Linked DNA regions of Arabidopsis thaliana. The protein of the gene in region 3 interacts with the protein of the main gene of each other region in a pairwise test. Each region holds a gene or a part of one and is shown on either strand. Other genes may lie near its edges. The genes, in order: DREB2A, CPK30, ABF4 and CDPK1.

The links.
Region 1: the proteins of ABF4 (region 3) and DREB2A interact in a two-hybrid assay, tested with the Arabidopsis thaliana proteins (one study listed by BioGRID).
Region 2: the proteins of ABF4 (region 3) and CPK30 interact in a two-hybrid assay, tested with the Arabidopsis thaliana proteins (one study listed by BioGRID).
Region 4: the proteins of ABF4 (region 3) and CDPK1 interact in a two-hybrid assay, tested with the Arabidopsis thaliana proteins (one study listed by BioGRID).

The regions. Positions count from the first base shown.
Region 1 is NC_003076.8:1,598,764-1,605,839, forward strand, and holds DREB2A (DRE-binding protein 2A), read left to right. Parts: upstream 1-3,441; 5' UTR 3,442-3,606; intron 3,607-3,863; 5' UTR 3,864-3,886; coding exon 3,887-4,894; 3' UTR 4,895-5,276; downstream 5,277-7,076. Other genes in the region: AT5G05400 (LRR and NB-ARC domains-containing disease resistance protein), read right to left, coding at 1-1,606; AT5G05420 (FKBP-like peptidyl-prolyl cis-trans isomerase family protein), read right to left, coding at 5,277-5,355, 5,452-5,500, 5,589-5,630, 5,720-5,807, 5,887-6,060; AT5G05430 (RNA-binding protein), read right to left, coding at 6,512-6,665, 6,767-6,889, 6,971-7,076. UniProt on the Arabidopsis thaliana protein: Transcriptional activator that binds specifically to the DNA sequence 5'-[AG]CCGAC-3'. Binding to the C-repeat/DRE element mediates high salinity- and dehydration-inducible transcription.
Region 2 is NC_003070.9:28,077,366-28,085,485, forward strand, and holds CPK30 (calcium-dependent protein kinase 30), read right to left. Parts: upstream 5,307-8,120; 5' UTR 5,112-5,306; coding exon 4,472-5,111; intron 4,319-4,471; coding exon 4,175-4,318; intron 4,095-4,174; coding exon 3,942-4,094; intron 3,817-3,941; coding exon 3,701-3,816; intron 3,607-3,700; coding exon 3,439-3,606; intron 3,343-3,438; coding exon 3,112-3,342; intron 3,008-3,111; coding exon 2,834-3,007; 3' UTR 2,581-2,833; downstream 1-2,580. Other genes in the region: QKY (C2 calcium/lipid-binding plant phosphoribosyltransferase family protein), read left to right, coding at 1-1,053; AT1G74730 (transmembrane protein, putative (DUF1118)), read left to right, coding at 1,630-1,782, 2,023-2,466.
Region 3 is NC_003074.8:6,683,273-6,691,718, forward strand, and holds ABF4 (ABRE binding factor 4), read left to right. Parts: upstream 1-3,769; 5' UTR 3,770-3,964; exon of another isoform or gene 3,965-4,613; 5' UTR 4,614-4,683; coding exon 4,684-5,802; intron 5,803-5,890; coding exon of another isoform or gene 5,891-5,935; intron 5,936-5,989; coding exon 5,990-6,061; intron 6,062-6,156; coding exon 6,157-6,186; coding exon of another isoform or gene 6,187-6,198; exon of another isoform or gene 6,199-6,434; coding exon 6,435-6,512; 3' UTR 6,513-6,851; downstream 6,852-8,446. Other genes in the region: FUT11 (fucosyltransferase 11), read right to left, coding at 173-529; AT3G19300 (Protein kinase superfamily protein), read right to left, coding at 6,970-7,481, 7,554-7,638, 7,736-7,825, 7,917-7,984, 8,065-8,117, 8,200-8,446. UniProt on the Arabidopsis thaliana protein: Functions as a transcriptional activator in the ABA-inducible expression of LTI65/RD29B (AC Q04980). Binds specifically to the ABA-responsive element (ABRE) of the LTI65/RD29B (AC Q04980) gene promoter.
Region 4 is NC_003070.9:6,520,296-6,529,103, reverse strand, and holds CDPK1 (calcium-dependent protein kinase 1), read left to right. Parts: upstream 1-3,028; 5' UTR 3,029-3,367; coding exon 3,368-4,019; intron 4,020-4,152; coding exon 4,153-4,296; intron 4,297-4,388; coding exon 4,389-4,541; intron 4,542-4,630; coding exon 4,631-4,746; intron 4,747-4,854; coding exon 4,855-5,022; intron 5,023-5,114; coding exon 5,115-5,345; intron 5,346-5,462; coding exon 5,463-5,636; 3' UTR 5,637-5,862; downstream 5,863-8,808. Other genes in the region: NRT1.9 (Major facilitator superfamily protein), read right to left, coding at 5,863-6,763, 6,841-7,394, 7,492-7,709, 8,214-8,304. UniProt on the Arabidopsis thaliana protein: May play a role in signal transduction pathways that involve calcium as a second messenger. May be a positive regulator controlling stress signal transduction.

The DNA.
Region 1 (7,076 bases), on a different chromosome or scaffold from region 3:
CTCGAAGGAGTAAGGTTTCGAGCTTGGGACAGTGAAGACTTTCGCATGCCTCTTCGATCTGATTGTATATCAAGGACATCCTCCTCACAGCTTTCTGGTCCTCAATCTTTGGAATGTCTCTTAGTTGAGCATTGGCTTCCACAACAAGAACATTCTTTTGTTTCTGGTCACCACATCCTGATGATATCCACAGAGCCATTTCGCGAACCACATCATGCATCTTTACTTTTTCTTTGGTTTCACTCTCCTTCAGTAAATATGCACGAGTGAGAGTGCCGATGATTGTATAACCCTTATAATTTATACCTTTAGAACCAAGTATAATACCCTGGCCTACCCAGTACTCTATCAAGTCATCTTTTCCTATTTCATAGTCTTCAGGAAACAAGGCACTAAAAAGGAAGCAGGACTTGGTCTTCTCACACTTTAAGTCATCGTAGCTAAATTTCAAAATGGAAAGAATATCCGCTTCTATACCTGAGAAAACACCAACAGCGTCATGCCACTCTTCGATGGACTTCTTGCGAGCCATGGTCTCGCCAATGACATTGAGAGCAAGTGGCAAGCCATTGCACTTTCTTGCTATTGATTTTGCAACTTCGGGAATCTTTGGATGACTTTCCAATGTCTCTTTCATGTTCCTCGTGAACAAATCCCAGGCATCATCCCACATCAAACATGTTACCTCTATCTCCTTATCTACCCCCATTTTCCCGCAAACTTCATTAGAACGACTTGTGAATGCTATTTTACTTCCATTTCTTTTAGGAACCGGAATTCCAATGTTTGCTAAATCCACCTTCGTCCACATATCATCCAACAATAGCATATACTTCTTATTCTCTAAAGACCTCTTTATGGTTGATGCTATCTCATTTTCTGTTTTTTGTTCCCATCCCTCGTTGTAGAGATCTAGTCTTTTTCCAATGTCTTCTTGAATCCTCTTAACAGTTGGGTTTTTAGACACTACAACCCATATTGCAATGTCAAAATCGTTGCTTACTGTGCGGAACTTGTTGTTGATTTGAGAGAGGAGGGTGGTCTTGCCTACTCCCCCCATACCATATATACCCAAAAGCCCAACTCCCACTTCCATCATACTATTCCATGTTGATTCAACAATTGCCTCTTGACCAACTATCTCCTGGTGGAAAAGCCTTTCCTCCACCTTTGGTATAGGACCTTTTTGAGCAACTTCATCAAAAACGCCTTTAGATAGAAGATTCTCAACATCTTGCAACTTGTTGATTACACTTTTACTATAGTCGTAGCTATATTTACATCTCTTAGAACAATATTGGCCACAACATAAATTATCTATTTCTTCATCGCTTTGCGAGAGGATATCATGGGCTTCACATACCCTACTTTCGACCTCAGAAAGCCATTGTTGGACTTCATCCAATAGGTTTAGACCTCTATCTTCTTGTACCTTAATCCTTTTCAACAAATCATCTCGTCTTGCCTCCAACTGTCGTACAGTTTTCTTTAGAGCCGCTACATGATCTACGAGGTTGCGGAAGCGATTTTGGTTCCTGCTAAGGCAGCTTGTAAGGTTATTAACAGCCTGGTCACAGGATATTGCCACAGAGAAGCAGGCTCCCATCTCTCATAGATTCTCAAATTCCTACCAGAGAGATTAATATACAAATTCCTTTCCTAATGTTTTAGTTTATTAACTGAGGTGTGTGCACGATCATTCGGGTTGACCACCAATCTTGGCATCCAGTCATCTACGACTCGATCAAATATTTATGTTATTTTAAAAATGAACTGTAACCAAGATAACATTTTTTTCATAAGGTCAACGACCCTTGGGATGTTAACAGAGCCAAGTTTAGTGAGCACTATGTGCTCGTTTTTTCTTAACACAATTCTAACGTGGTTTGGCCAAGCCAAGTCAACATTTTACTTACATCTCGTTTTCCAATAATGGTTTTGTAATCGATAACCTAAATCATTGTAATGAATGCGTTCCTCCCTATCGATCCTAGGCCTTAGACAATGCTGAATGATTCATAGCCACGCGAATAACCTATTCATACTAATATGGAAAGAAAGAAGCCAAACTTACAGAGCTCTTCTCACGGTCGTCGAAGAAAAGAGAGTCTACAGTCAGCAACAAAATTAGTGTTGCCATCATGGCATCATCTTGCAGCTTTTTCCGCACAAATAATTTATCATCCAAATGTTGTTCACTAAACCAAAAACAAACAAGCATTACAGCGAAGAAACCAACTCGTAGATACAGATTTCCAAATTCATGCCTTATTTAGACCAATAAAAACTGAAATTTCTCTTCAGCGAAAAAAAAAACAAACAAACTGAAATTTCATATAGATCCAGAAGATAGAAACTTGTAGGCTCAATCGACTAGACTAGAAGATGCTCACCCGATCGTGCTTGAGATAGCGAGATAGTAGCAACACCGACGGTAGAAATAAAATGGACGACACCCATCCAATGGGCTAATTTAGATTAACGGGCTTTAAGGGTTTGATAATGGATGTTAATTAACTGAGGCACATGGGATTGTATCACGTAGGCAATGGGTTTGATAATGGATGTTAAGTAACTAAGGCCCATGAGGTTGAAGTACGTAGGCAATTGCGTGAGCTTACGTTAGCGATGCCGTTAGAGACACGTAGTGGATGAAGTGGCTTTGGTTAGCAAAGGACACATGAGGCACATGCAAAGGCTATAAATGACTGCTGCTTTGCTACAACTTGCGATTCCCAAATTTTATAAGGTAATGGACCCTATCACCTCTGCTCGAAGCTAAGCCACCCAAGTTTGAGCTTCACCATTTGACACGTCTCTAGCTAATACTTAATGCTTAAACTTTAAACTAATACTTCATGTTTAAGACATTTCTGGCTGACACATTTATGAATTCGCTCTATGTCGTACGTACACCGGAAACCTTTAATTTTACAATATTAACCGTGATCTTTTTAAAAATATCTATATAAACGATAAGTATCTCATCAAAACAAAATTGAATAATGTGCACGTTTGTAAAAACTAGAAAAACAGGCAATAAACATCATCATCCAATTACACATCTAGTAAGTGTGATGCAGTGGCAAACTGGCAATAAACCAAGAAAAATCGAGAAAGAGCAGATGAGACAGTGTTGTGTTGTCAGGGTTAATAAAAAAAAAATGAAGATATTTTAAAATTTCATAATATTTAAATAATGAAGTAGTTTTATGATCTTATCCATAAATCAATTTTAAAAAGGTTTAAACTTTACTTTTCCGTATCAACAGCGTGTTTCGAGAAGATTCGGGAGGACACTCGTCGAACGGAAAAGTCGTCTAAGCCTTTATGTTCGAATCAAAAACTGACACGTAACCTTGCTCTCAAACAGAAAAATAAAATAATGTTAGAAAAATCTAGAGAAGGCTATAAATACTCCGTAGATACTTTGTCTTCCTTAGATATTTTGATTTCTGCTAAAGCTGTCTGATAAAAAGAAGAGGAAAACTCGAAAAAGCTACACACAAGAAGAAGAAGAAAAGATACGAGCAAGAAGACTAAACACGAAAGCGATTTATCAACTCGAAGGAAGAGACTTTGATTTTCAAATTTCGTCCCCTATAGGTACGTTGATTTCTGATTTCTTACAAATTTTCAATTAATTTCTCTGATTAGGTCTCGTCAATTGGTGATTCTAGGGTTTATCTTCGTCTTTAGGTTTTCGATTATTTCCTTTTAGGTATAGCTGTGAAATTGGGAAATTTTAGGTGTTCCTAATTTGATAACAAATAAGTAAATCGATCTGATTTTGAACCAAGTTTAAGTTCTCTTGCCTTATGTTTCAGCTTGTGTTCTGATATTGAAGTGTTGTTGTATTGTAGATTGTGTTGTTTCTGGGAAGGAGATGGCAGTTTATGATCAGAGTGGAGATAGAAACAGAACACAAATTGATACATCGAGGAAAAGGAAATCTAGAAGTAGAGGTGACGGTACTACTGTGGCTGAGAGATTAAAGAGATGGAAAGAGTATAACGAGACCGTAGAAGAAGTTTCTACCAAGAAGAGGAAAGTACCTGCGAAAGGGTCGAAGAAGGGTTGTATGAAAGGTAAAGGAGGACCAGAGAATAGCCGATGTAGTTTCAGAGGAGTTAGGCAAAGGATTTGGGGTAAATGGGTTGCTGAGATCAGAGAGCCTAATCGAGGTAGCAGGCTTTGGCTTGGTACTTTCCCTACTGCTCAAGAAGCTGCTTCTGCTTATGATGAGGCTGCTAAAGCTATGTATGGTCCTTTGGCTCGTCTTAATTTCCCTCGGTCTGATGCGTCTGAGGTTACGAGTACCTCAAGTCAGTCTGAGGTGTGTACTGTTGAGACTCCTGGTTGTGTTCATGTGAAAACAGAGGATCCAGATTGTGAATCTAAACCCTTCTCCGGTGGAGTGGAGCCGATGTATTGTCTGGAGAATGGTGCGGAAGAGATGAAGAGAGGTGTTAAAGCGGATAAGCATTGGCTGAGCGAGTTTGAACATAACTATTGGAGTGATATTCTGAAAGAGAAAGAGAAACAGAAGGAGCAAGGGATTGTAGAAACCTGTCAGCAACAACAGCAGGATTCGCTATCTGTTGCAGACTATGGTTGGCCCAATGATGTGGATCAGAGTCACTTGGATTCTTCAGACATGTTTGATGTCGATGAGCTTCTACGTGACCTAAATGGCGACGATGTGTTTGCAGGCTTAAATCAGGACCGGTACCCGGGGAACAGTGTTGCCAACGGTTCATACAGGCCCGAGAGTCAACAAAGTGGTTTTGATCCGCTACAAAGCCTCAACTACGGAATACCTCCGTTTCAGCTCGAGGGAAAGGATGGTAATGGATTCTTCGACGACTTGAGTTACTTGGATCTGGAGAACTAAACAAAACAATATGAAGCTTTTTGGATTTGATATTTGCCTTAATCCCACAACGACTGTTGATTCTCTATCCGAGTTTTAGTGATATAGAGAACTACAGAACACGTTTTTTCTTGTTATAAAGGTGAACTGTATATATCGAAACAGTGATATGACAATAGAGAAGACAACTATAGTTTGTTAGTCTGCTTCTCTTAAGTTGTTCTTTAGATATGTTTTATGTTTTGTAACAACAGGAATGAATAATACACACTTGTGAAGCTTTATGGGCCTTAGTGTGTCTCACAATATTTGAAATCGTAAGAGGAAAAACTATACGATCTCCACAAAAAAACTCATCATTGGATTGAGTCTTAGGAAGTTCTCTAGGGATTAGAGGGCAGCTTTATTTAACATTAAGCAGCTCGACATCAAAGACCAGCCAAGAGTCAGGGGGAATGCTACCAGCACCTTCCGCACCATACCTGTGAGCCAGACAATTTTATCATCTCTCATTAAAAAAAGCTTAAAATAAAACATCACATTATGGAAAAATAAAAAAAGATTTGCAAAGGCTTTACCCCATTTCTGGAGGAATTGTAAGCTTTCTTTTGCCACCAACAAGCATTCCTTTAGAAATTTACAAAAAGAGATCAAAACAACACACCATTTGACCATATTTAGTGAAGAAAAACCAGTAAGAAACTAGCTAGGTTACCATTAAGGCCAACATCCAATCCCTTAATGACTTTTCCAGCATCTGTATGTGTAACAGCAAGCACATAAGTATCCAAGTACCACTCACACATTAATAAAGCTCTTACTTTCGCATCAAGTTATAATACCAACCTAGACGAAACTTATAACGTGATTTTCCAACGGTGGAATCGAAAATCTTCCCATTCCCCTGAAGCTTTCCAGTATAATGGACACTTACCTGCACTCAGAGACAATAGACTGACCTCCAACAAATATTTGCACACAAACTACAACAGTTTAGGACTAAATGCTCATACCCTTTTGCCAGGCTCAGCTTTCTTGCCGTTGGGGTTTCCCATGCATAACTCTTCAACAATGAGGCCATCTAGGTCAGGCGTTTGCTTCTCAACACTAATAGAAAAGGCTTTACTCTCCACTGTAGCTTCCTCACTTATCTTCTCATTCTTCTTAGCAGATTCAGATGGGGACATGGAGCTTTCACTCCTGCAATAATATCAAAAGAAAAAAGCATAGAAATTTATAAGATGGGAAAGAATTTGAAAGAACCATTTACTTGTGAGCTAATAATATCGAATACCAATAACAAATGTACTAACTGATATATCCCAAATGACATGACTACTTTTGATTACCCCAAAAAGAACAAAGTACTTAAGGCAGAAGAATGGACTGAAGTCAAGTAGCCAAAGGAAACCTCAAGCTGACTTCTATTCATTGTTTTGAAAAGAGTATGCCGGAGGATCTTATATATGAAGGAATTTAGTTAAAACCATTTCAATAAGAAAAGCTAAATTTTACAGTAATATTTGAATTGTGGTTATAGGATACAAAAGTGACTGGAGAAGGATAGAAAAGTTAATTTACCTGCTTTTTGGAATGGCTGCATCCATGGCAGAAGGATCTTGGAGAGGAGGAATAGGTTTACTGAAATTGACGCGGCGGCGAATGAGGCGTATAGGTATTTCCGGTTTGGCAGTCACCCAATACAGCTAATTTGCGTCCTCGCATGTAGCTCCCATTAAGTTGAGTCACGGTATCAGCTACGTCTTTTCCGTGAACAACAGCTCTAACTGAGCTGAAAAATGATCAACAAAATACACAAGTCTCTAGTCGTTAAAGAGTAATAATTTTAAATAAATTGAAAGTTGGGTAACATGGGAGAAAGAAGCCTCAAACCTCTCTTTGACAAAATGGAGGCGTATGATATTTCCATATGGAGAGAAAAGTTTAACCAAAGCCCTCGAGATTTGACTCTTCCTAAGCGAAGTATCATATCCTTCAACTCTTACAATAACCTTACTGCAGTAATAGGATATTGCCGGAGATGATAAACATTATTATTATCAACAAATCTTATTTTTTTAAGAAATCAGTGTTTACTCGTTTGCGTGTGCCGGATACGGATAAGCCTCAACAGAGACATTCCATCCTCCCACGTTAACTTGAGCTGATGAGTTGGAAAGAAATGGAGGAGGAAGAAGCCACC
Region 2 (8,120 bases), on a different chromosome or scaffold from region 3:
TGCACCGTGCTAACTGTTGGAGTCTTCGACAATTGGAGGATGTTCTCTGACGCCTCCGATGATAGACCTGACACACGGATTGGGAAGATACGGATCCGGGTGTCGACGTTAGAGAGCAACAAAGTGTACACCAATTCATATCCTCTGTTGGTTTTGTTACCTAGCGGTATGAAAAAAATGGGTGAAATTGAAGTGGCAGTCCGGTTTGCATGCCCGTCTCTGCTGCCTGATGTTTGTGCAGCTTATGGACAGCCGCTTCTGCCTCGGATGCACTACATAAGGCCTCTAGGTGTAGCACAACAAGATGCATTAAGAGGGGCCGCCACGAAAATGGTAGCAGCTTGGCTGGCTCGAGCAGAACCACCATTGGGACCAGAGGTAGTTCGATATATGTTAGATGCAGATTCGCATGCATGGAGCATGAGGAAAAGCAAAGCGAATTGGTACAGAATTGTTGGTGTTTTAGCTTGGGCAGTGGGTTTAGCTAAGTGGTTGGATAATATCAGGCGGTGGAGGAATCCAGTGACGACGGTGCTAGTCCATATTCTATATCTGGTTCTTGTTTGGTACCCTGATTTGGTAGTCCCGACTGCATTCTTGTACGTGGTGATGATCGGAGTTTGGTACTACCGGTTTAGACCCAAGATACCGGCTGGTATGGATATCCGCTTATCACAAGCTGAAACCGTCGATCCTGATGAGCTAGATGAAGAATTCGACACCATACCAAGCTCAAGGCGACCAGAAGTAATCCGAGCTAGGTACGACCGATTAAGGATCTTAGCAGTGAGGGTTCAGACCATTCTAGGAGATTTTGCAGCGCAAGGAGAACGGATTCAAGCGTTGGTTAGCTGGAGAGATCCGAGAGCGACAAAGCTGTTCATAGCAATCTGTTTGGTAATCACAATAGTTCTGTATGCAGTTCCTGCGAAAATGGTGGCGGTGGCTCTAGGGTTTTATTATCTTCGGCATCCGATGTTCCGAGACACAATGCCTACGGCTAGTCTCAATTTTTTCCGGCGGTTGCCAAGCTTGTCCGATCGACTCATCTAAGGAGAGAAAGATGTCAAGATAGTAAATGTTAGGTGTTTTTGAGTATCCAACAGTTTCTTGGGCTGAGGAGGAAATAGAATAAAAAGATTCATTATGGGTTAAGAATTTTATCATATTATTATGATTCTTCATTTTATTATTCAGATTCTGTCGGAAACTATAATCAGATGGCATGAGCTTTGAGACCTGTAATATTTTGAAGGAAACGAGAGAGATTTCAGATTTGAGAGGTGAAAAAGGAAGCAAAACTTGTCAGTAAAGTTTTTTGACCACAGATTTGCTTTTGGTATCTCTGTAGTTTTCTCTGTAATCTAAAATGATTTACTAATTCCTCATTTAACTTATTTTGTTTACGCCTAAACTATTACATGTAAACATTGTCTGATTATATAAATTCTAAGTGAAAAACCGGAGATAAAGCGCTAACGAAAATGATTGGTTGAAATCACAAAGACATCATCTGACGTGGCAGTTTCTCTGTCTATCAGAGTTTCAGATAGTGTGCCAACGGCGAAACAAGACACGAAAGAATCTCTAAAGAAATCATTTTCATCGCTTCGCTTCGATTTTTCTTCAATGGCTGTCGTCGGCGCTCCAATATCGTCTCCGGCGGCTCAGCTGCAGACACAATTTCTCTCCAATCCCATTCTCCCCCGCTTTCGCCGGTCTTTCTCCACCGGAAAATCACCAGCAACTTTCTCCGTCGTAGCTATGGCTCCCCAGAAAAAGGTAACTAACTCTCTTAATCATCTCCTTTGTTTAAGTTCTGAGATCTTTTGCACTTTCATCAATCACTTCATAAAGTATAAATCTTTTTTGATTCTCAAGATAATCTTTAGAAACATGAATAAGCAGTACATTTTAGTAATGGAACAAAGACATTGAAGTCTCTGTATATAGTATTGTTGCAGAGTTTTATATATACTTTTTAATTTGTGTAATTGTGATCACTGAATCGGGTAACAAAAGGTGAACAAATATGATGCCAAGTGGAAGAAACAATGGTACGGAGCTGGATTGTTTTTCGAAGGGAGTGAGCAAATAAACGTTGATGTTTTCAAGAAGCTGGAGAAGCGAAAAGTGTTGAGCAACGTTGAGAAATCTGGCCTGCTGTCAAAAGCAGAGGGGTTGGGACTCACATTGTCATCTCTTGAGAAGCTTAAAGTCTTCTCCAAAGCAGAGGACCTTGGTCTTCTCAGTCTCCTTGAGAACTTAGCTGGAACATCGCCTGCGGTCTTAGCCTCGGCTGCATTACCAGCTCTCACGGCTGCTATTGTAGCCGTGGTGTTGATCCCGGATGACTCAACTACTCTAGTGGTTGCTCAGGCGGTTTTGGCCGGTGCTCTTGCGCTTACAGGGGTTGTTTTGTTGGTTGGTTCTGTTGTTTTGGATGGACTTCAAGAAGCTGACTGATTCTTTCTCTGTAAACCGAACATAAACCCATGTCTTGTCCAATTGATTTTTGTCAGTTGCTGATTTATAGCTGTATGGTTCAGTTGTTTATGGTTAGTCCAAGACATAAGCTGAGTGATAGAAAGAAGCTTTATAATAATTAAACAAATATTACATACACATTCATTCATTCTCCAGTGAAAAGCCTAACTACGCCCACAAATTACAAATTTCCAACTTCCCCAAAACCAAAAAAAAGAATCTCTAGAAACAAAGTGAAGTAAGCCAAAATCACATCTGAAAAAAGCCCAGAAAAAAACCCTTCATGAACGTGTAAGAAAAGCAGCCATCAGATTGCTTCTGTTTTGGTGATAAACAAGTGTAAAGATCAAACTGCAATAGATTGTCCAGTGAGTGCGTCGTGTAGATGCATTGACCCGTCTTTCATCAAGTTTAAGCTTAAGCTTTTAAACCTCTCTCTTGAGTATTGTCTTGATGCCTTTCTCCAATCAGTTCCAGCTTTCATCATCACCACAAACTCATCATAGTTTATTTTTCCGTCCTGCAAAATCAAACATTATGACTCCTCTTAAGTATTTAATAAACTTTCTATAGGAAGAGTCTTTATAGCGAGAAAGGAGCTGATGTATAGAGCTTTAGAAAAACCTTGTCAGTGTCGACTTCACGCATTATATCGATTATAACACTGTTGTCTGGTTCACCTAACTCGTCGGTTAAAGCTTCACGTAGTTCTTCTGATTCGATGTATCCACTTCCATCTTTGTCAAAGAACATAAAAGCTTGTCTGAAATGCTCATCATTCTCCATCTTCTGCAAGTGAATTATCACTGCTACAAACTCTCCATAGTCCAAGCATCCATTTCCATTAACATCCGCCTGCATCAAAATCATGAATGTAAGTACCAGAGAAGATAAACATCGTTTGATCAAGAAAAATCCTCATAAGGAAATGGTATTTGGTAAAACATTTACCACTTCCATTAACAATTTGATCTCTGGTTCACCCAGTTGTGAACCGACTTTCCGGAGTCCAGCTCTGAGTTCTAGATATGATATTTTACCGTCGTTGTCATCATCCATCAGCGTAAACATGTTTCTGATCACTTCAACTTCTTGAATAGACAAGTGTTCGGCGATAACCTGGAAGCATCAAAAGGGAGCAAGTAAGTTAAACCAATCAAAGCTCCAAACAAAAGTATAAACTCATCTGAAAAAAATGAGAGGCAACACTTACACGCAGAGCTTTCTTTTTCAATCTATTCATCATGGAGAATTGCTTCAACCTTGACCTAACAATATCCCCTAAAGGAACATTTGGAGCTTTCTTTGCATTCTGTATCCAAGGGTGATCTGCAAAGAAGGAAACAGAAACCGTTTTCACTTTAAATGCCATTTTCTCCATCTCAAATCCAACACAAGAAACAAGTAGCAAAGAAGATCAAAATTCACAAGTGACACAAGAACAGCATTATTACCAAGAACTTGCTGAGCAGTCAAACGCTTAGTTGAATCAGGTTCCAACATCTGCTTCACAAGGCTCTTTGCGCTCTCTGATATCTGCGACCAAGGATCTCTCTTAAAATCAAGAACTCCCCTCAAGATGGCAAGAGCCACACCTTGTTCAGTCTCTGCAATCAAAACCTTGAATCACTCAGTTACTCTCAATCAGCATATACAACTTCAAACAAGAATCAAATCTTTCTTTAACCTGCCCAAAACGGAGGAACACCACAAAGCAAGATGTAGAGGATAACTCCAGCACTCCACACATCAACCTCTGGTCCATAATTTCTCTTCAACACTTCTGGAGCCATATAATAAGGACTTCCAACAATCTCTGTAAACCTCTCTCCTGCAAAATGCATCAAAATCTCTCTTTTAAGTTAAATTCATAAGCAGATTCAAAGTAACACAATTGTCAACTCTTAACCAATGTGACCTGAAAGCAAAATGGAGATCAAAGATTCTAAATTTAGCAAAAAGATTCCATTTTTATGGAAATTACCAGGTTTAAAGAGAACAGATAAACCAAAATCAATAGCCTTAAGTGCAGAATTCTCCTTCTTGTTAGCAAACAAGAAATTCTCAGGCTTCAAATCTCTATGCATAACACCATTGACATGACACATCCTCACAACCTCCGCGATCGTTCTCGCGACGGTAGCCGCCGCACGCTCTGTATAATGTCCTCTGGCAACAATCCGATCAAAAAGCTCACCTCCTTCACAAAGCTCCATCACAAGATGCACGTTCTCGTTATCCTCATAAGTCGCTTTAAGTTTCACAACGTTTGGGTGTTCCGGTAAAGTTGACATGATCGTGACTTCACGACGGACGTCTTCCACATCGACGGCGGTTCGGAGCTTTCTCTTGGAGATTGATTTGCAAGCTAAAGCTTCACGAGTCTCTCTATCTGTACAAAGATACGTGATTCCGAATTCGCCGCGACCGAGTTCTCGTCCTAAGATGTACTTGTCGCTGATCTGAGATTGATGGCTCATAGGAATCACACGTAACGGTGCGTGAGTTCTTAAACCATCGGGATCGTCGTATGGGTTTCGTTGCCGTCCCCGTGGAGGTTTCTTCTTCTGGTTTGGTTTTGAGTTGTCTGGGTCAAACTTGACGCAGGCGATACAATTACCCATGGCTGAGTTTTTGAAACTCAGCAGAAGAATAATGAAGAAAGTAGTTTAAAGAAGTTTTCGTTGGTGCAAAATCCGGCGACGGCGTAGAGTTTTCCGGCGAACCGGTGAGTTGCAGAGAAGAGGAAACACGGGTTCAGCTGAAGAAAGTTTCGACCTTTTCGTAAAATTGATCAAAATGATTATAATTTTTTTTATTTATATCAAAAAGAAAATAAGTTAAAGCGACTTGATCTATCTCCCCTATATACTTAAACAAATTAATTACATAGAAACTGTAATTTTGAGCCATTTTCTAACCTATAATTTATAAAAAATTGTAAAATATTTTCAGTGATTAACAGTTAATTAATTGTATTATTATTACAGAACAAGTTTTAGTCTCTGGTGTTGTAACTAAAAGAGTAAGTAATTAAAATAACTATTAAAAAAATTATAGCCTTAGATCTGTTGATAGGTGGTAAAATGAAGGGTAGAGATGTAGCTTACGTGGAAGGGGAGAGTTTGATGAAGTTGTTGACCGTAGAAGTGGATACGGTGACATTGTCAAAAAGTGTGACGTTGGTTTCATTTGATTTGGTATCACCAAAATATTTTGTTTTGTTTTCAATTCAGTAATTATTATTGTCTTCTTGTCTTATATTATATGTCTATAGCATTACCTAAACTACCTGAATCTACAATTTTTTTTTTTGCTATTTGGTTTCTTAAATACAATATTTAAAAACTGGTTTCTTACCAATATACATACATATGTATATTTACAGATTTATCGAGTGGAAAATGTCTTCATTAATTTTTCGTATGAAAATAAATAACTTTGGGTTGTCAAATTCAAGATAAAAACTGGCATTGGATTTTCTTAACAAAAAAAAACCCTAGTAGTTTATGTGTGATTTGAAAGTTTCTACCAAAAGATTTGGTGAAGATAATTTCAAAAGCTATCAAATTTGTATCTAAGATATGAGATATTATTAGGTGTAGACTTTATCAATGTAAAGGAGTCAGCTTACTATCGGACTTTGTTTTGTGTAAAAAAATAGTAATCAAAACTAATATATGAAGATTCCATTGATCAAAGTCAACAAAAATGCAAACAAATGCGATCGTCTTGTTGTTTTCTCTCATATATTTCTCATTTTTATATTCGAAACTAATTGACAAGTGTGTCGCCATGTCGTGATCTTATTCGTTTGCTTTCTATAAATCGGGTTTACATTCACATCCTATCAACAACTAATTGGAAGTTCGAAACCGAAACTCTTTTTGATCATCATGTACATCGTCTAAACGATAAAATTTGTGCATATGAATATAAATATTTTTGTTTTATCACTTTATGTCACTCATCAAATTGATATCAGTAGGTAAAAAAGAAGGTCTTTTATTTATTTCCCGGTTATACTTTCAACCAACAATTAGTGCAATTGGCAAAAAGAGTGTGAAACGTTGAAAGTCATGCAAAAAATAAAAAAAGCGAGTCTTTGTAAATCAATACATTAGAGAAAACTAGCTATATAAGCCCCAAGTTTTAAAACTTGGTTATATTTTACTCGAACTTTGTTATGTTTATGCATATAGTAATATGTTATAAATTATTAAGACATAAAATTCCATAAAAAAAGATAAATCAATTACAAATAGATTAGTATGGATGAGATTGATTTTCACACCTAAAAAAAAAAGAGAGGAAATGATGGACCATGTTTTATCTTGTGCAACTTTTTAGCTGGCAAAAAGGATTTAAAAAGAAACTAACAATACGAAAAATTATTATTCGGAAAAAGGGACTTTCGTCGATGAAGGAAAAAACATGAGATTGTGTATGAAATGATGGGCTCAACTAGAATGTTTGAGATTGCATGTGTATGTGGCGTTGTCATGCCAACTATTCGATTTATTCAAGTCCCATCACTTTTCTTGCATAAAACTGTTATCTACAGCCTAAAACTATATATACTTTATGGGATAATTAATATTTTTATATGAATGAATCTTAAATTCAAAAAAAAAGAAAAGAAATGAATGAATCCATCATCCATGCCTTAGGCTTTGAATAGTGATATACCGGCGGGATGGTTTGTTTACCATCCATATCTCTTTTAAAACTTTTCAAGTAATAAGGAAACTCAATAAGTTTCTAGATTAGTCATGTTTCAGTCTAACTTTTAGTGTTATGAAGAACAAGAAAATGACAGCAAGTGATTTGGCATGGATCAAGTGACACAGGTCCGTTTTATTTACATTTTGGAATCTGAAATTCATTAATTTCAATGATTGTAGTATGTCTCTGACTAAGTTTGTTTTCCATATGTTGCACACTTATAGTAAATGATGAGGTTTGGGAGTGAATACTTTAGGGTTAGTTTAAGATTCTATGGGGTTTCAGATTAAGCTGTAGTATGAGTTTGTCGAAGCTACTAGGATCATATAACGAGCAAATGTCTTTTATACAGCAGCTATTTGGGCTTGAAAAACAAAGTTTGAAATGGGCTCATAAGATAACTGATAGGAAAGCCCAATATATTTTTCTTAGCTTAAAGAGAATACACTTGCAAAGGAGAACATAAATGCACAAATACAATGGCATAAAAGTATCTTTTTCAAAATATTATTTAAAACTTTGTTGTGCTTTCACATTTTTAGATTTTTTCAGATTTTTTATATTTCTTTTGGATTAAAAGTTTATAAAATCTATCTTAAAGAAAAGGAGCCGTTCTAAAATCTAAATTAAAGAGGCCACGGAAATTTAGTTCGGATCGAATCATACCCACAAAATCTCTCTCTAAACTCTAAAATAGTAAAGGAAATGAAAGTCACAAAACAGTCATATTCAAAGTAGTACAGAGAAACTTGAGGAGGACAGAACCGAAACGTTTGCTCAAAAGGGGAACAAAGTAATAAAAGACGAAAAGTTCAAAAAAAGGTTTTTACAGCTAAATCCAAATATTCTTTTTATTCCCAAATTCAATCACTAACTTTAAAAATAGTAATTCGACACCACATTGTTAA
Region 3 (8,446 bases):
ATAACTAAGAAACCACAGTATCCAATCAACATTACCACCCACAACAACTAGCTAACAAGCAAGCCTAAATTTTGATCCCCTTGACTTGCTACCAAAGTCTAGCTCAGAAAATATCACACAGAGAAATTAGATATACATAATTTGATGATAGACAAATGATTCTGCTACACACCTTGTTACTACCAGAGATAAAAATCGGATCTTTAGTGAAATCTCTAGAATAAGTAACTGAATCCACTCTCTCTAACCACTCCTGGCATTTCTCTATTCCTGACCCAACTTTCAAATCGGACGACGACTTGGTGAAAAAATGGGTTAACGTATCGACCAAAGAAGCGTTATCGAGCCGACAGAGGAACCCGATCTCGATAATGACGACAAGAGCCACGCAGATTGGCAAAAAGGTCGAGACTTTACGCTTGAAAGAGGAAGGAGACGAAGAAGAAGAAGTAGAGCCATTGGCTACTACAGGCAATTCTTCATGGGTCAATCCAATTTTAGGACCTCGAAGATTGGAGAAAACACCCATTATCAAAGCGACGATTTTTTATCAATAATGAATGGATTTTAAGAATTGTGATTTGGGTTTTTATCGTTTGATACTTTGATTGATGAGAAAGAGGAAAAATTGGCAGATTTTCTACCTTTAGTTCTTATTTTATTTCATTTCATTAGGAAACTCACTGAAACATGAACTAAAAAAATACATTAACATATATGTCTCTTTCATCATTAGGCTCGGATTAAAACATTTAAACACTTCAAATCTCTAAGACAAAATCCTAAATGAGAGAATTTTACTTATCACAAGGAGAAGGTGTTGGAATAAGCTTGAAGATGACTTAAGCTATAAGTCATTAAGAGATTAGGATTAATAATTCTAGGAGTTATCTAGAATTATATTAGGAGTTATCTAAAGATTATTTGGTAGTTATCTAAATAATAGTCCTAATAGGTTTTGGATTTGGTTTATGAGATTCTTATATAAGGAGATGCTAAGTTGTGGCATAACTCATTGTGTTTAAGCATTGAGAGTTTGAGAGCTTAGGTTTTAAGGTATTTTCCTAAGTTAATAAAAGAGAGTTATTCTTTTATATTTTGAGTTCTTATTCACAATCTTATATCCTTAAATTCTATAGAAGGAACTAAGGAAGAGAAATGTATAGATCGTCATGGATGAGCATATACATGTAATTTTTGCCTCCTCTTAGAATTTTCTAATGACAACTCCAAAATAGAATGATTTCATATATTTTAAAAAAAAAAGAATGATGATGACTATTATTACTCTAGTTATAGCAATAAGCCAACACTATTCATCACAACATTTATTTTTAAAAATTTATCGACAAATTGATATCACACTATTATGAGACAAAACTAATACATCAAAATGCAAAGCTAACGATAGATATAAATAGTAGTTAATTAAAACTTGAAAATACAAAAATGACATTGTATTAATTGAATAATATAAAATATAGTGATGTAACTAACGTTCAAATTTCAAAGTACATAATCAATATGGAAACTAAAGATAAACAAAGTCGTCCTTTCAAACAAAATCCTTTCAGACTTTGGATCTGAATGATATGTAGCTCAAAGAATCAGAGGAAAAAGGCAAATAAAGCCAACGCAAAAGGTCCAAGCTAGAACAATGGATTCATGTCCGGGAAACCGTGGTAGTAGAAGACGTGGTGGTGGAGGACCACACATGACATAACTAGGGTTTTTCTTGTGAACTTTTTCTTCTCTAGCTTCACCGTAATATCTTGTTTTCGATGTTCTCTAAAACTAGCAAATCGTGTGTTTACACTACTCTTTCAAACTACTTTTCTCCATCTCTGACCCTTGAAGTCATAGCCATGTAATCTCTTTGCATTTTAGTAGAATACCCTGTAACAAGAAAAAATAATTATAGATAAAAACAACAACAAATAATCTTAACAAAACAAATGTTGATGCTTCAACGATTCGTCCTTTTTTAACACATTTTCTTGATTATATTTTGTGGCTAGAGGCCCTAGTCACAAATGCCCTCACCAACCCTTCAATCATTGAATATATACAAGCACAACCACATGCGATCATTTGGGATCTGAAATATTAATACAAACTAAGATCTCAATCATAAAAAAATAGAATGACTACAAATCTATTAGTTAATTAGGACAATTATTAAACATTTTTTCTATTCTCTATTTTATGTTTGAATCTTACTTTTTGCTAAAAAAATATTGCTCCATTGATATTTATAGTTTACTATAGTCTTGGTGATTTGTATGGATTTGTAAAAAGAGGTCAAGCGTTGATGGAGATGAACTCTACTTCTCACATCACTCGAGTCTTTTTAGATTAGTTTTTTTTTGATAAAAAGGAAACAAAGCCTAATTATGAATTAGCAAATACAACTACATCTCCATAGTCGTCCCTTGAATCTTGGTCGAACTCTGTAGCATCAAGGTTGAAATTAAACCTAAATGACAATCGTGTGTACGTGTATAAATATACATATAAGTGATGATTACATAAACTCATAGTCATATATGGGATCTATTATGGTTTTATGCTCACTCTATACGTCGGCCTAACGTGGCAAAAGTGGATATTTCTTTGAATATAAAATAGAAAAACAAAAAGCAAATAAGCAAACATTGCAATAATACCAAAAGAGGAATGAAAACATATTTCTGTATTTGGAAGTAATGATCTTAGACTCCACGCGACTGTGTTCTTTATTGTTTTGTTTCGAAGAGCGGTGTGATATTCTTATTGGCTTGCAACCAAAATGGGCTCCCAAAAAGAAAGCAAGCACCACCACTTCTTCTATCTGATGAGGGAACACTTTTAACATAAAAGTCACACAACCATAACATATATTCAAATTTCGGGTGATAACATAATGATAAAAATAGCACAACCCAATTAACTACATGTTTTGGTCATATTTTATTCATAGTTTATAGTTTTTTCTTTTTTTTTGGTAGGAGTAAAGAACACTGTCGCGTGGAGTCTAAGATCATTACTTCCAAATACAGAAATTTGGTTTCATTCCTCATTTGGTATTATTACAATGTTTGCTTATTTGCTTTTTTTCCTACTTTTTTTTTATAACATCTAGTTTATAGTTTTTGTTATATATTCAATCTATTTAGTGTCTAAACAATACTGATGATATCAAATGATTAAAAGGCTTTTGAACTGTAAAAATGACAAACAAATATCTATGATCTATGTCATAATTGAAAAAAAAAAGTTACCAATAAAGATTTTTTTTTATATAGGTAGTATTTCTTGGCTAATATGGACATGTATATAATTATATTTAGTCTTATCTATGTATGAAATTGGTTTGGATGTTGAAAAATGAATCATCCTTATCGTCAACCATTTTGGAAAGAGACAAATCTAGATTTTGATTTCTTTTTTTTTACAAATTAAAGATTTTATAATATATCACAATATTGTTGAAGATTACAATTGTGGCATATGTCAATTTGAAGATCAATTTGAATTTTTGATATACATCTAAAATAAGAAAACTAAAAGAACATAAGAAGTAATATATTTTTAAAAAATTGACCTAAAAACAAAGAATAATCATTATTATGATTTAACTCCAATGAGAAAACAATTCCAAGCACGATCTCCAACCACTCGAATCTTCACTGTCGGAAACAAACGGCCAATGTTTTACCACGTCGCATTCTTAATTGGATGTAAGTCTTTACAAGCACTTAAAACATTAAACTCTTTTTTCTCATTCGTCCACGTTTCTTTTTAAATTAATACTGTTAACAGATAATTATTCACAAAAAAATAATATCTGAAGAACAAAAAAAAAGGTTTCAGGGCCTTAAAATGGCTGCTCGTGTCGAGGCGGCAGCAACACACTTGTCGTCTCTCCCTGTAGCTTCTCTGGAGTTTTCGCAGTCACGAATCTTGTTTTGAAGAAATTAATTTGGTAAAACATATTTTCGAGCTCCTTTCTCTTTTATTATCCGTTTTCTGACTTCTGGATCTGTCTTTGTCGGATCATCCAATTTTTTTGTTGTCTTTCCTCTGTTTCGTTTATGAATCATGATGATGTACATGTTGTAACTGAAGTAACTTTTGGTTATCAAATTAGAGTTAAAGAGAGAATTTTTACGAGATATTTGTTATAAATTTATCGATTTGATTCTTGTTGCTATTAGGGTTTTGTCTATTTGATTCGATCGGGTTTTTTTTAAGAGAAATGGGTTGTGGAATCTGGAATAGATCCTTCTCATGCTTGTTGGGTTTTGCTGATTTTCTCGTTTTTGGTTTTATGAGTAAACTCTGTATCTGGTGTGAATTCGTTTTCCATCAAAAAAAGTCATCAAATTACGTTTTTTTATAAACATTATCCAAAGATCTGACCTTTATTGATTGACTTTACTGTGCTTTTACATTTGTTCGCACGCATTTATGTGGTTTGTCCAGTTTCACTTTAGTATTCTTTCTCTTATATGGATGTGAACATGCATTAGTGACACATAGTTCACTCCTTTTTATTTTCCTCGGAAGTTCTCTTTTTCATGGATTCTTAGCATTATGTAATATACACTCTAACTGCTTTACTTTGATTTTAGAACAAGGGTTTTAGGGCTTGGATGCTTTGTTTTCATTGAAAAAGAAGTAGAAGGAGTGTATACAAGGATTATGGGAACTCACATCAATTTCAACAACTTAGGAGGTGGTGGTCATCCTGGAGGGGAAGGGAGTAGTAACCAGATGAAGCCAACGGGTAGTGTCATGCCCTTGGCTAGGCAGTCCTCGGTCTACTCCCTTACCTTTGATGAGTTACAGAACACACTAGGTGGACCGGGAAAAGATTTCGGGTCGATGAACATGGATGAACTCCTGAAGAGCATATGGACTGCTGAGGAAGCTCAGGCCATGGCCATGACTTCTGCGCCAGCTGCTACAGCGGTAGCGCAACCTGGTGCTGGTATCCCACCCCCAGGTGGGAATCTCCAGAGGCAAGGTTCGTTGACGTTGCCTAGAACAATTAGTCAGAAGACTGTTGATGAGGTGTGGAAATGTTTGATCACCAAGGATGGTAATATGGAAGGTAGCAGCGGAGGCGGTGGTGAGTCGAATGTGCCTCCTGGAAGGCAACAGACTTTAGGGGAAATGACACTTGAAGAATTTCTGTTCCGTGCTGGGGTTGTAAGAGAAGATAACTGTGTTCAACAGATGGGTCAGGTCAACGGAAACAATAACAATGGGTTTTATGGTAACAGCACTGCTGCTGGCGGCTTAGGTTTTGGATTTGGTCAGCCAAATCAAAACAGCATAACATTCAATGGTACTAATGATTCTATGATCTTGAATCAGCCACCTGGTTTAGGGCTCAAAATGGGTGGAACAATGCAGCAGCAACAACAACAACAGCAGTTGCTTCAGCAGCAACAACAGCAGATGCAGCAGCTGAATCAGCCTCATCCACAGCAGCGGCTGCCTCAAACCATTTTTCCTAAACAAGCAAACGTAGCATTTTCTGCGCCTGTGAATATAACCAACAAGGGTTTTGCTGGGGCTGCAAATAATTCTATCAACAATAATAATGGATTAGCTAGTTACGGAGGAACCGGGGTCACTGTTGCAGCAACTTCTCCAGGAACAAGCAGCGCAGAAAATAATTCTTTATCACCAGTTCCGTATGTGCTTAATCGAGGACGAAGAAGCAATACAGGTCTAGAGAAGGTTATCGAGAGGAGGCAAAGGAGAATGATCAAGAATCGGGAATCAGCTGCTAGATCAAGAGCTCGAAAGCAGGTGAATATAAATCTAACTAAACTTATCTAGTCCCTTTTGTTTGGTTTGACTATTATGGTCTTATATTTTGCAAGACTGCATTAAACAGAAACATAAAACCAGCAAAGATATCTTCTATCCCGAACCACTTCTTGTATTATGAAAGATGCTTTATCTTCCATGTTTTTTAACTATCCACTAATTACAGGCTTATACATTGGAACTGGAAGCCGAAATTGAAAAGCTCAAGAAAACGAATCAAGAACTGCAGAAAAAACAGGTTTCTTTCTGTTTACAACCTCTCTGTGTGTTTTCTGTTTTCCCCTATCAGACTTTTAGAACTTGGCTCTGATCCTAGCTTCCCCTGTATTGCAGGCTGAAATGGTGGAAATGCAGAAGAATGAGGTAATTGTTTAAGAACTTTTCTTTTCATTGAGTTCATTCTGAAACCCTTGACCATACTTGATTAGGACCAACATCAGCAGCAAAAGACTAAACTTAAGTTGTAGCTCTGATAGTGTATGTTGGTCCTTATCAAGTATGTCCCCAACTGAAGCTCAAACCTGAGATAGCTTTCGAACATTTCGTGGTCTTGCTTCGTTTTGAATAGCCTTTTTGATTGTGTTGTTCACTAGTATTCTTTTCAAAATTAGCAGCTGAAAGAAACGTCGAAGCGACCGTGGGGCAGCAAAAGGCAATGCTTGAGAAGGACATTAACCGGACCATGGTGAAGGATGAAGCAACAAGAACGGATGAACCAGACTCCTAGCTTGGGATTAATGTAATAGGATAGTGCTACCTGTACAGGAGATTAAGAGAAATTGAGTGAAAGATCTAGGTTACAGAGTAGGAGAGAGTTTTCATTATGAATAAATGACATTTTGTGCCCTGACCTTTGTTAGTTTAGGTTTAGATTATCCTCTGTTATTGACTTATTGTGCTTTCTGGTTGTTAGGGTTTCTAAAAGACATAGTTGTTTATATATATGTCTGACTTTGTATTCCGGATTTGGTTCTCTTGTGTCATTAACTTGGGTTTAGCCATTATTACTTAAGAGTGGCAACGAAATCATTCTTGACTCTGGTTGGAAAACATATGTCATCTTTCAAAACTGCAATTAGAAAACAGTTAGGATGATCCTAAGTGACAAATTTCTAGAAAAAATGTGACTAATTTGTCTCTGCTCACTCAAAAAGAGAGACCATTTGGTGGAGAGTGAGGGGAGCCAGTCTCAAGCAGAAAACTCCGGCTACAATGCGACCTTGAAGTAGTACTAGAGGAAGAAGCCAAGCCACGGATGTCTCCACTTTGGAACCCTGAGTCACCTCTCAGTGACCGTCCTTTGTTCTCTTCAACTGCCATTGCAAGCCCGAGATGCAACGGATCACAGCTTTCGTACAACAGCCTCAGAACTTGCTTGATTGATGGCCTAGCCACGCCTTCTTTCTCTGTGCACCATCTTACAACTGCCACTACTGTTTCAAGCTGTTCTCCATCTATGCAGTCTTTGATTCTCGGATCCACCAGATCTATGCGTCTTGATTCTGATACCAGCAAAGGCTGAGACAGTTCTACCAGGTTCCTACCTTCATCAACCGCTCTTTTCCCAGTTATGATCTCTAGCAACACCACTCCGTAGCTGTACACGTCGCTTTTCTCTGTTAGTTCATGTGTTACAACGTACTCTGGATCTACATAGCCTGAAATTCAGATTTCATGGTTTTAGATTTTGCTCAATATTTCAAGAGTAGTTAATTCCTTAGTATCCTGACCTGGAGTTCCGCGGATATCAGTATTAACAGGTTCAAAACAAATGGAGCCATCTCTAGAAGCATGTGCAAGGCCAAAATCTGCAAGCTGCACCACATAACCCCACACCCACAGGTCAATTCTTTAAGAGGTAAAACGAATTGATAAGTCAGTGACCAGTTGATGTGAAAGGATGCAGACGCACCTTAGCAACAAAGTGCTCGTCGAGTAATATATTGCTTGACTTAATGTCTCTGTGACAGAGGGGAGGGTCACAGTAGAAGTGAAGGTATTCCTGCAGGAAAGGAAGCATATCCAGTTAAGAACTAAGAACAGTAATAATAATATAAACCATAGACTAGAGTATCAGTTTTATGGAAATTTACCAGAGCATTAGCCACATCAATTGCGATTTTCATCCTTGATTCCCAACTTAGTGGAGATTTTTCCGTGGCTGCAGAGAGGAATAACAACGTTCAAGATTCTTAGTCAAGTCTAAAACAGAGGAATGCAATCTGAAAATCATGAGCATACAGTGTAGATGATCCTTCAGGCTCCCATTTTCCATATACTCGTAGACAAGGAACCTGTAATTCTCAGGTTAGATGAGCAAAGGGCAATCCACACAAATGGGGAGAAACGAAATGAAGGTCAACCGTAATCATTCACCTCTCGTTCTTCTTATTACAAAACCCTTTCAAAGCAACTAGGTGGCGGTGATGCAGCCTGGCGAGAAGCTCTATCTCTCTGCAAAATTCATCTTCAGCTTGTTCAGAGCTCTTGTTCATCTTTTTTACAGCTGCAACCAACCCATTACTGAACTCAGCTTTGTAAACAGTCCCAAAGCCCCCACGGCCAATCACCGCGTTGAAATCTTCAGTTGCTTTCCTTATCTCCTTGTAGCTGAATTTCCGAA
Region 4 (8,808 bases), on a different chromosome or scaffold from region 3:
AATAGAGAGAGAGACGAGTTCGTCTTCTTCCTCACGTTGTCGTCGAAATTGAGAGAAGAAGCGTTCTTCTACTCTCCTCCAAGCATATTTGGTCACACACACGGAGGCTGCTGCCAATTCAAGGTCTCAACTTTTTTTTTTGCTCTCCTTTTATATTTTCACTTCATTTCTCTTACCTAAACTTTCAAATATACCCCTCATCTTTAATTAGTTTCCAAATAACACCTAATAGTCTTATTCTTACAAGAATTCTCCCCATTCTTAATAGTTTTTTTTATTCCCCTTTCATAACTTCTTTCTCTCAATTAGCCAGTAAATATTTCTATTTTGTTTGATACATGATAAATTCGAAGTATTTTTTGTGGTTTTAAAAAGGATTATGTGTTTTATGGAGTTATAGAAGAATATATGGCTTTGACTAAAAAGAAGAAGAAATTGAGCTTCTTTTTGTTATTTTCCACTTTGGTTAGTTCTTAATTGCAACGTAGAAGCCTTGCCCTCCCCAAGTTTCGCAAGTCTTCAACAAAAATGTTCCGCAAGTCTTCGCTATTACACGTGGCGTTGCTTTCATGTCTTGCCCGTGACTGTCCTGTTACTCTAGTGGTCAGAGAAAGTTTCTTTTTCAGTTGTATTTTGACTATTCAGATTTTGGTGGTAAGTTGAGAAACGAGAACTTTTAGCGGAATAAGCATTATATGATTAAAAAAACTCTATAATCAAAGAAGAATAATTGTCTTGTAGAGTTTGCTAATCCTCTTCTCCAAGCAAGGTGCAAAGTCTCCTCTGCATACTAGGCTTAGTTCAATACATCTTTCAATCTAGTTAGGCCCATTAGCCCGTTATGTTTACAAAGTTAAAAGCCCACTTACTTGAGAAAATTCACAGATGCACACATGCATTAGATTATGTACTGCAATCTGAAAATGCATGATGAGAGGTCTCATACACAAAACAAAATCAAAAACAATTTAGAAAAATATTAGAGTAACTTATAAAGACTGTTACAGCTGAAACTAAAATACTAATAAATTCGACTTCTGGCAATAATTAAGGATTACATCTCTTTTGTTTAGAGTATAATTGAACTTTTGGAGCTGTAATATAATTTGTATGTATGATTTATGAAAAGTGATTGAACTTATACATAGATGGAAAAGTTGGCGTAACAACATGCATGATACATACAGAACACATGCAGCCACAGCATTTGAATAGAACACATCATCACAATTCCCAAACATAATCATTCTCTTCAGCAAAAAGACACACTCTTTCCAAATATAATTGTCACTTTTACTGTTTTAAATTTTAAGTTATGCCAGCTTTAAAGTTGCCGACGACAAAAGCATGTCCATCGTTTCTTTCTTCTTCGGAAGATTAATCAGAGGATTTAAAATAATCTAAATTCGAGATTATGTTGTATAAATATCCATTTTGAAACTTGAATGAACAAAAAACCGATAAAGTTTTCCACGAATAAGTTGTTGGTGTTTTTAGTAGGTTCATAGATAGGAGGGTGGAAGGTCTCTAGTTGGGCAATAAATTGAAACCGCTTTTTTCTGACCTACCAAATATTAATTTGATCGAATCATTGAAAAAAATACATATATAAAATTATCCATATAAAAACTATGTAGTTTGCTTTAAAATATTTCATCGTATGCAATGATATATGCATACTTAATCCACCACATGTCCCTTGAAACAAAAGCACTTAAGCTCTGTGTGGTTGACATTAAATCACACATTTCATTTTGTTAAAATTAAAGTCTAAAATTTTATTCATGGTAGTACATCCATCATCAAAGACCATTTTCATTGAACAAAATAAAGTTTCAATCTCTAATCCTTTGTGAAAATTCTTACTACTATATATTAATTAGGTCTTTTGGAATATAGACGCGCAACACACATTTTCTTATATATGGATTGAATGGTATCCAAATCCCCAAGGTAATGTAATGTAAAACCAAGATAAAGAAAACGAGTATGACATTGACAATTGAACTTGTAGCGAAGTCAGGATAGGACGACTTGCGGTTTCTACTTTCTAAGCCAAAGAAACATAGTTTTCATTGATTTTTAGTGTTTTTAAATTTGTTGTTGACTTCCATTAATGGAATATTTCGTACTTTGCTTCTTCTTTTCGAATTTTATTTACCTATATAACTTTGCTTTATTTTCTACAACACAATAAGTATTGCTCATAATTGAGGAAGTCTATACACACAATATTTTCCTATCCTTTCTTTTTTTCTGTCGGGAATTTCTTCATATCCTAGCATCTAGATTATGATTGTACACATACAAAAACAGAAAAGAACTAGACTTCAAAATAATGCAAATTAGAAACAAAAAATTGCTCCAAAAAAAATATATTCAAAACTATAAATAAAATATTATTATGATTTTTCTTCTATTTTACGTACATTGTATATCTCTAGAGAAGAAAATAATTTTTAAAAAATAGTTTGGGATCAACGTCGCACTTATTGTTTTGTCTTACAATCTCAGAGTCTCACCGTATCCACCACGCTGGTCAACAACTTCAACAAAACTCTCTTCCTCGAACTTCAATCTTATCCCTTCATTTCATTACCATTAATTCACACCAACGGCTAACATTGTCCTCCTCGCTAAACTGTTAATTATACGTTTGGCCGTAATGTTTTGAAGTCTGCCTATATTTCTTTTCAATAAATGCTCTTTTAATTAGGTTTTAATTTGGTGAAATCCAACCTTTAAATTTTCTGATGCTGTTAAATCTAAGAGTTTGAATTTTCTAAAATCATTGTTGTCGGTTATCATTTGTACATCTTGATAGAACTATAATATGATCAATATAAACTTATAATAATAATAACTGAAAATACAAATGATTTTGTTTGTTTGTTTATAAAACCACTGAAAAATGCAAGAGTTAATCCACTGAGTTCAACCAAAAAATAAAGAAGTGAATTCTATTAGTCATAAGCTTGGACCAAAAAATCCATCTAGAAGAAAAAAAAAATTGAAAAAAAATTACAAGTTTCTAAGAAGATGGTGCAATGGTTAGAAAAATCTCTCAAGTTATTAAATGCATCATAAACTAATACTGTATATTACTATACACAAAAATCAAAGACTCCCTTTTTTTTAATTGAATCAAACAAAATCCGAAATTTCGAAAGGTCCGACTTTTCCTCACCTGAACCCGCGTTTTCTCTCCCCCTCCCAACCCAACTCTCCAATTCGCCGGAAAATCACCGCCACCGTCACTTCCGGCGTCCATATGAACTAAAGAGATAAGCTTTTTTCTTCTATAATCCTTCTTCTTCTTCTTCCTTGATCTCCTTTCTCTGAGTTTGCTGAGTTTCTTAACTCAGCCATGGGTAACTGTAACGCCTGTGTAAGGCCAGACTCAAAAGAATCAAAACCATCTTCAAAGCCGAAAAAACCCAATCGAGATCGGAAATTAAACCCATTCGCCGGAGATTTCACCAGATCCCCAGCTCCAATACGTGTTCTCAAAGATGTAATCCCTATGAGCAATCAAACTCAGATCAGCGACAAATACATCTTAGGTCGTGAATTAGGTCGAGGCGAATTCGGAATCACTTACCTCTGTACTGATCGTGAAACCCACGAAGCTTTAGCTTGCAAATCGATTTCAAAGCGAAAGCTTCGAACAGCTGTCGATATCGAAGACGTTCGTCGTGAGGTAGCGATTATGTCTACTTTACCTGAGCATCCAAACGTAGTTAAGCTTAAGGCTAGTTATGAGGATAACGAGAACGTGCATCTGGTTATGGAGCTTTGTGAAGGAGGTGAGCTTTTTGATCGGATTGTTGCTAGAGGACATTACACGGAGCGTGCTGCTGCAGCTGTTGCGAGAACGATTGCTGAGGTTGTGATGATGTGTCACTCTAATGGAGTTATGCATCGAGATTTGAAACCTGAGAATTTCTTGTTTGCTAATAAAAAGGAGAATTCTCCACTAAAGGCTATTGATTTTGGCTTGTCTGTGTTCTTCAAACCTGGTAAAGATTCAATTTTTAGTGTTTCTTAACTCAGTGGATGGTTCTATTTTTAGACTATCCTGCCATATCTTCATGTTTATGGAAGTTTGTGTAGATATCTGAGATTGGGTAAATAACGTTTTCTTTATTGTAGGAGATAAGTTTACAGAGATTGTAGGAAGTCCGTATTATATGGCTCCAGAAGTGTTGAAGAGAGATTATGGACCAGGGGTTGATGTGTGGAGTGCCGGAGTTATTATCTATATCTTGCTCTGTGGTGTTCCTCCGTTTTGGGCTGGTTAGCTTCTTCTTTTAATTATTTTAGCAGCTGTGTAATTGTTCACCTATGTTGATTAGATAAACCGATAAGATTGTGGTTTCTATTGACAGAGACTGAACAAGGTGTTGCTCTTGCGATCTTGCGGGGAGTTCTTGATTTTAAGAGAGACCCTTGGCCTCAGATATCAGAGAGTGCCAAGAGCCTTGTGAAGCAGATGTTGGATCCTGATCCGACTAAGCGGTTAACTGCTCAGCAAGTGTTAGGTGAAGTTCTTGTGTTTCTGTTTTCTTTAATGGTCGTAGTTACCTTAATCCACTCTATTACTAATGATTTTCTTTTTCTCACCTTTCAGCTCACCCATGGATACAGAATGCAAAGAAAGCTCCCAATGTTCCTTTAGGAGATATAGTCAGATCTAGGTTGAAGCAGTTCTCTATGATGAACAGATTCAAAAAGAAAGTTCTTCGTGTAAGTGTTTTTTTTTTGCCTTTTACTTTTCTGCTGAAGTTTGTAGAGAGTCTGTTGTGTGTGTCTATATTTGGTTTTGATCATTATCATCCCTGTTAATGCTTCCAGGTAATTGCGGAGCACTTGTCTATTCAAGAGGTTGAAGTGATAAAGAACATGTTCTCACTGATGGATGATGACAAGGATGGTAAAATAACTTACCCGGAACTCAAAGCTGGGCTTCAGAAGGTCGGTTCACAACTTGGTGAACCAGAGATCAAAATGTTGATGGAAGTGGTAATTTAAGCATTGCCCTTATCTGATTAAAGACCAATTCAGTGTTCTTCTCTGATAAACATAGCTGAAATCTGTATGGCTTTGACGCGCAGGCGGATGTCGATGGAAATGGGTTTCTGGATTATGGAGAGTTTGTAGCTGTGATAATTCACTTGCAGAAGATAGAGAATGATGAACTTTTCAAACTAGCTTTTATGTTTTTCGACAAAGATGGAAGTACATACATTGAACTTGATGAGCTACGGGAAGCTTTAGCGGATGAGTTAGGCGAGCCAGACGCCAGTGTTCTAAGCGACATCATGCGTGAAGTTGACACTGACAAGGTTCTTTCAAATATCCAAAAAAATCCTCCTTTAAGGCCTAACAATAAAGCTTGTCAAGAGAAAAGATATATCCCTCTGCTTCTGAGTCGGATTGTTGGGCTTGTTTGCTTTTTACAGGACGGACGTATAAACTATGATGAGTTTGTGACGATGATGAAAGCTGGAACTGACTGGAGAAAGGCATCGAGACAATATTCAAGAGAGAGGTTCAAAAGCTTAAGCATTAACTTGATGAAAGATGGGTCATTGCATCTCCATGACGCTCTCACTGGACAAACTGTTCCTGTTTAAATTTATTCGTTATCACCAAAAACAGAGCAATGCTCCGTTTTTTCCCCATTTCATAAATTGGGAATTTTCCGGGCTTGTTCTTTGAGGGATGGGAATTTTACGGAAGCTATGGTTCTTTACATATATAAACATTTTACATTGTATTTTGTATGTAATGTTTTGTTCAAAGGTTGTATTTTTATTGTCTCAAAGCCCCTAAACCAAAGAGTCAAAGGAAAGATCTTTATTACACTGACACCTTATCAAACTCAGCAGAAGTCTTGTCCATGTCCTTGTCCTTGGCCACAACATCTTTGTAACGGTACCAATGTGAGACCAACAAGAAATAGGCCAAGTTTAGAGTCATCATACCAGCAACCAAGAAGTAGAAATACTCCAATCTTCCCTTGTTTAAATCTTCCGGAAGCCAACTTCCTCCTGAAAATCCCTCTGTGGTATCGTGTACCGCCGATAACAAAAAGGTGCTGAGGTAACTCGCCAATCCGATTCCACAATAATACAGAGAACCAGCAAAACTTCGCATGTTCTCTGGAAACTGTTTGTAGTAAAACTCCATTTGTCCAACTCCAGCGAGGGCGTCCGCGATACCCATTAGCACTAGCTGAGGAATCAACCACATACCGGACATCGAAGAGATTGCGCCTTTTCTTGGGGCCAACCCTAGCGTCGGTTTTGTGAGAGCTACCTTTCTTCTGTATTGTTCTACAATTGCAGACACCATCATACTTGTGATGCATAGAAACAGTCCTGCTCCAACTCTCTGCAGTTGTGTGATACCGCCGTCTCTGCCTGTATACTTTCTAAGGAAAGGTACAAGGACGCGGTCATAGATAGGTATGAATATCGTCATTCCAAGCATTAGGAAGACGGTATAAGAACCGGCCGGGATCTGGAAACTTCCTGGACCAAGGCGTCTATCGGATTGAAGAGACTGAAAGATTGTGTAGGTTGTTTGTTGAATGTAAGCTAGGTAGAATAAGGCGGCCGAGAGCCAAACCGGAAGCACCCGGATCACGCATTTAACTTCCTCCACTTGTTGCATACTGCAGAGTTTCCATGCATCCACCGGCGACCCATCTTTGTTCAGCTTGTCGTCTTGTGTTTGGATTGCCGATTTGTCAAGAAACCTGCAAATTAAGAAAACCCTAAAATGTTTCTAAGTTGTTCCACAAGAAACTAAGAGAAGTAGTGAGGTTATTAGTACCTGAACTGCTCTGTATGGCCCAATTTCGAGTTCTTGAAATCACTGGCGATGTAGTTGTAAAGCTCGTTAGGCCCAACGGGCTTTAACCGCCTCTTCTTGATCGCGACAACAATGACACGAGTTATGCTGTGAATGGGACTGCCACTAGCTTTAACCTTGACATAGAGCTTAGAACCAGCGAAGAATATGATGCAACCAAGTAGCATTAGAATAGCTGGGATGGCTAAACCAATGCTCCAGCTCACGTTTGACTGAACATAGACGATGAGGGTTAACGACACCATCTGAGCAAACGTGAAGGTGAAGAAATACCAATTGAAGAAACTCTCAATCCCTCGTTTCCCTTCTTTTGTCTTCGGATCGAACTGATCAGCACCAAATGGAAGATTGCATGGCCTAATCCCACCGGCTCCGATCACCAGCAAAACCATTGCTCCGGCGAGAAACATGATTTGTCCGATGGATGGCCCATTGCACACGCTTCCTATTTCCTTAGCGCATTGAGCTGGATGCAGGGGATGAATCACAGCCGTTAGATCCATTGCCACCGAACCCTTTGCATCAAACACAACAAACGATTGAAACTTTCAGACATAATCAGCTAGTTTTTTTTCAAACTGAAAATTGTGATGAATAGGTTTTAGAATTTACGAGAAAGCAAGCGATCATGGCGAAAGATAGGGTCTTGTAGCGGCCAAAGTAGGAGTCACAGAGGAAAGCAGCGACGATGGTGCCAAAGTTGCTTGTGCCACCGTAGATGTTGACGACTTTCGCAGCCGTGATGCTCTTCATGTTGAAAACCGTCGTTAAGTATATAACCAGATTCGATGAACTTCCAACAATCCCCAATTTTTCAAATGTCTCATTTCCTACCAAATTAAGAAACAGAGCATTAAGTTACTCTGTTCATAAAATCCTCTGTTTTCTCTATCAGTTTCTTGTTCGTTTCAAGACCAAAAATGTTATAATAAATAAAAATAAAAAACATGAAAGAAACAGATCCATAAAAAAAGTCCTATGTTTTAATTTTATGAATCAAATGTTTTTTTTGTCAATGAATCAAATGTTTCATAAATAATAATAAAAACATACTAAAAGAGCACGAAATTAATAAATATTCTTATATTTTTGTTTATTTATTTCTAATAAATATTTTTATTTATTTACAAGTATAAAGTCCTCATGTTTTTCCATCAGTTTTTTGTTCGTTTCAAGATTATGAGTGTAAGTAAACAAAAATCATAATTTTGAAACGAACAAGAAACTGATGAAAAAAACATGATGACTTTATACTTGTAAGCAAACAAAAGTATTTATCAAAAAAAAAAAATATATATATATATATATAAGAAAGAATATGGATGAATAAATACCAATGATGAAGGGCATGACTTTCCATCCTCTGTAGATGATCTTAGACTCATCATCCTCTGCAATGTTCTTCTCTGTCTTCTCAACCTCCATTGTTATGTTTTTCTCTATGCTCTGCTCTGCTTTCTCTAAGTGTGTGTAATGTGTTAGTATATGTGTGTGTGTATATATATATTAGTGGGAAGTGAGAAGGATCTCATTATGAGACCAAAAAAGCTATTTGGAGATTATACCAAAACAAAAGTGTTGGATTAGAATATAGATTTGAGTAAAAAGAGTCGGCTTTATCGAAAGGAGAGGACTGGAGTTGGTATTCCTCACTTCATTGTTTTGATTTGTCAACTAACACACTAACGTTCGGATAACTTATTAGTTTATTTGTTGCCATGACTTATGTAATATTCTTAACTCGTTATTTAAACATTAAGTAGCAGTCAAGAGTTCATCTTTAATATCTGTAATATCGACAACGAATCTATCCTTTTACTTTTCATCTAGTAGGTATTCTTAAACAATATGAAAAAATGATAAAAGAAGAAGAAGAAAGCTAAGAAGAGTTGTTTAAGAATCATATATTGTGCCAATACGAACATATTT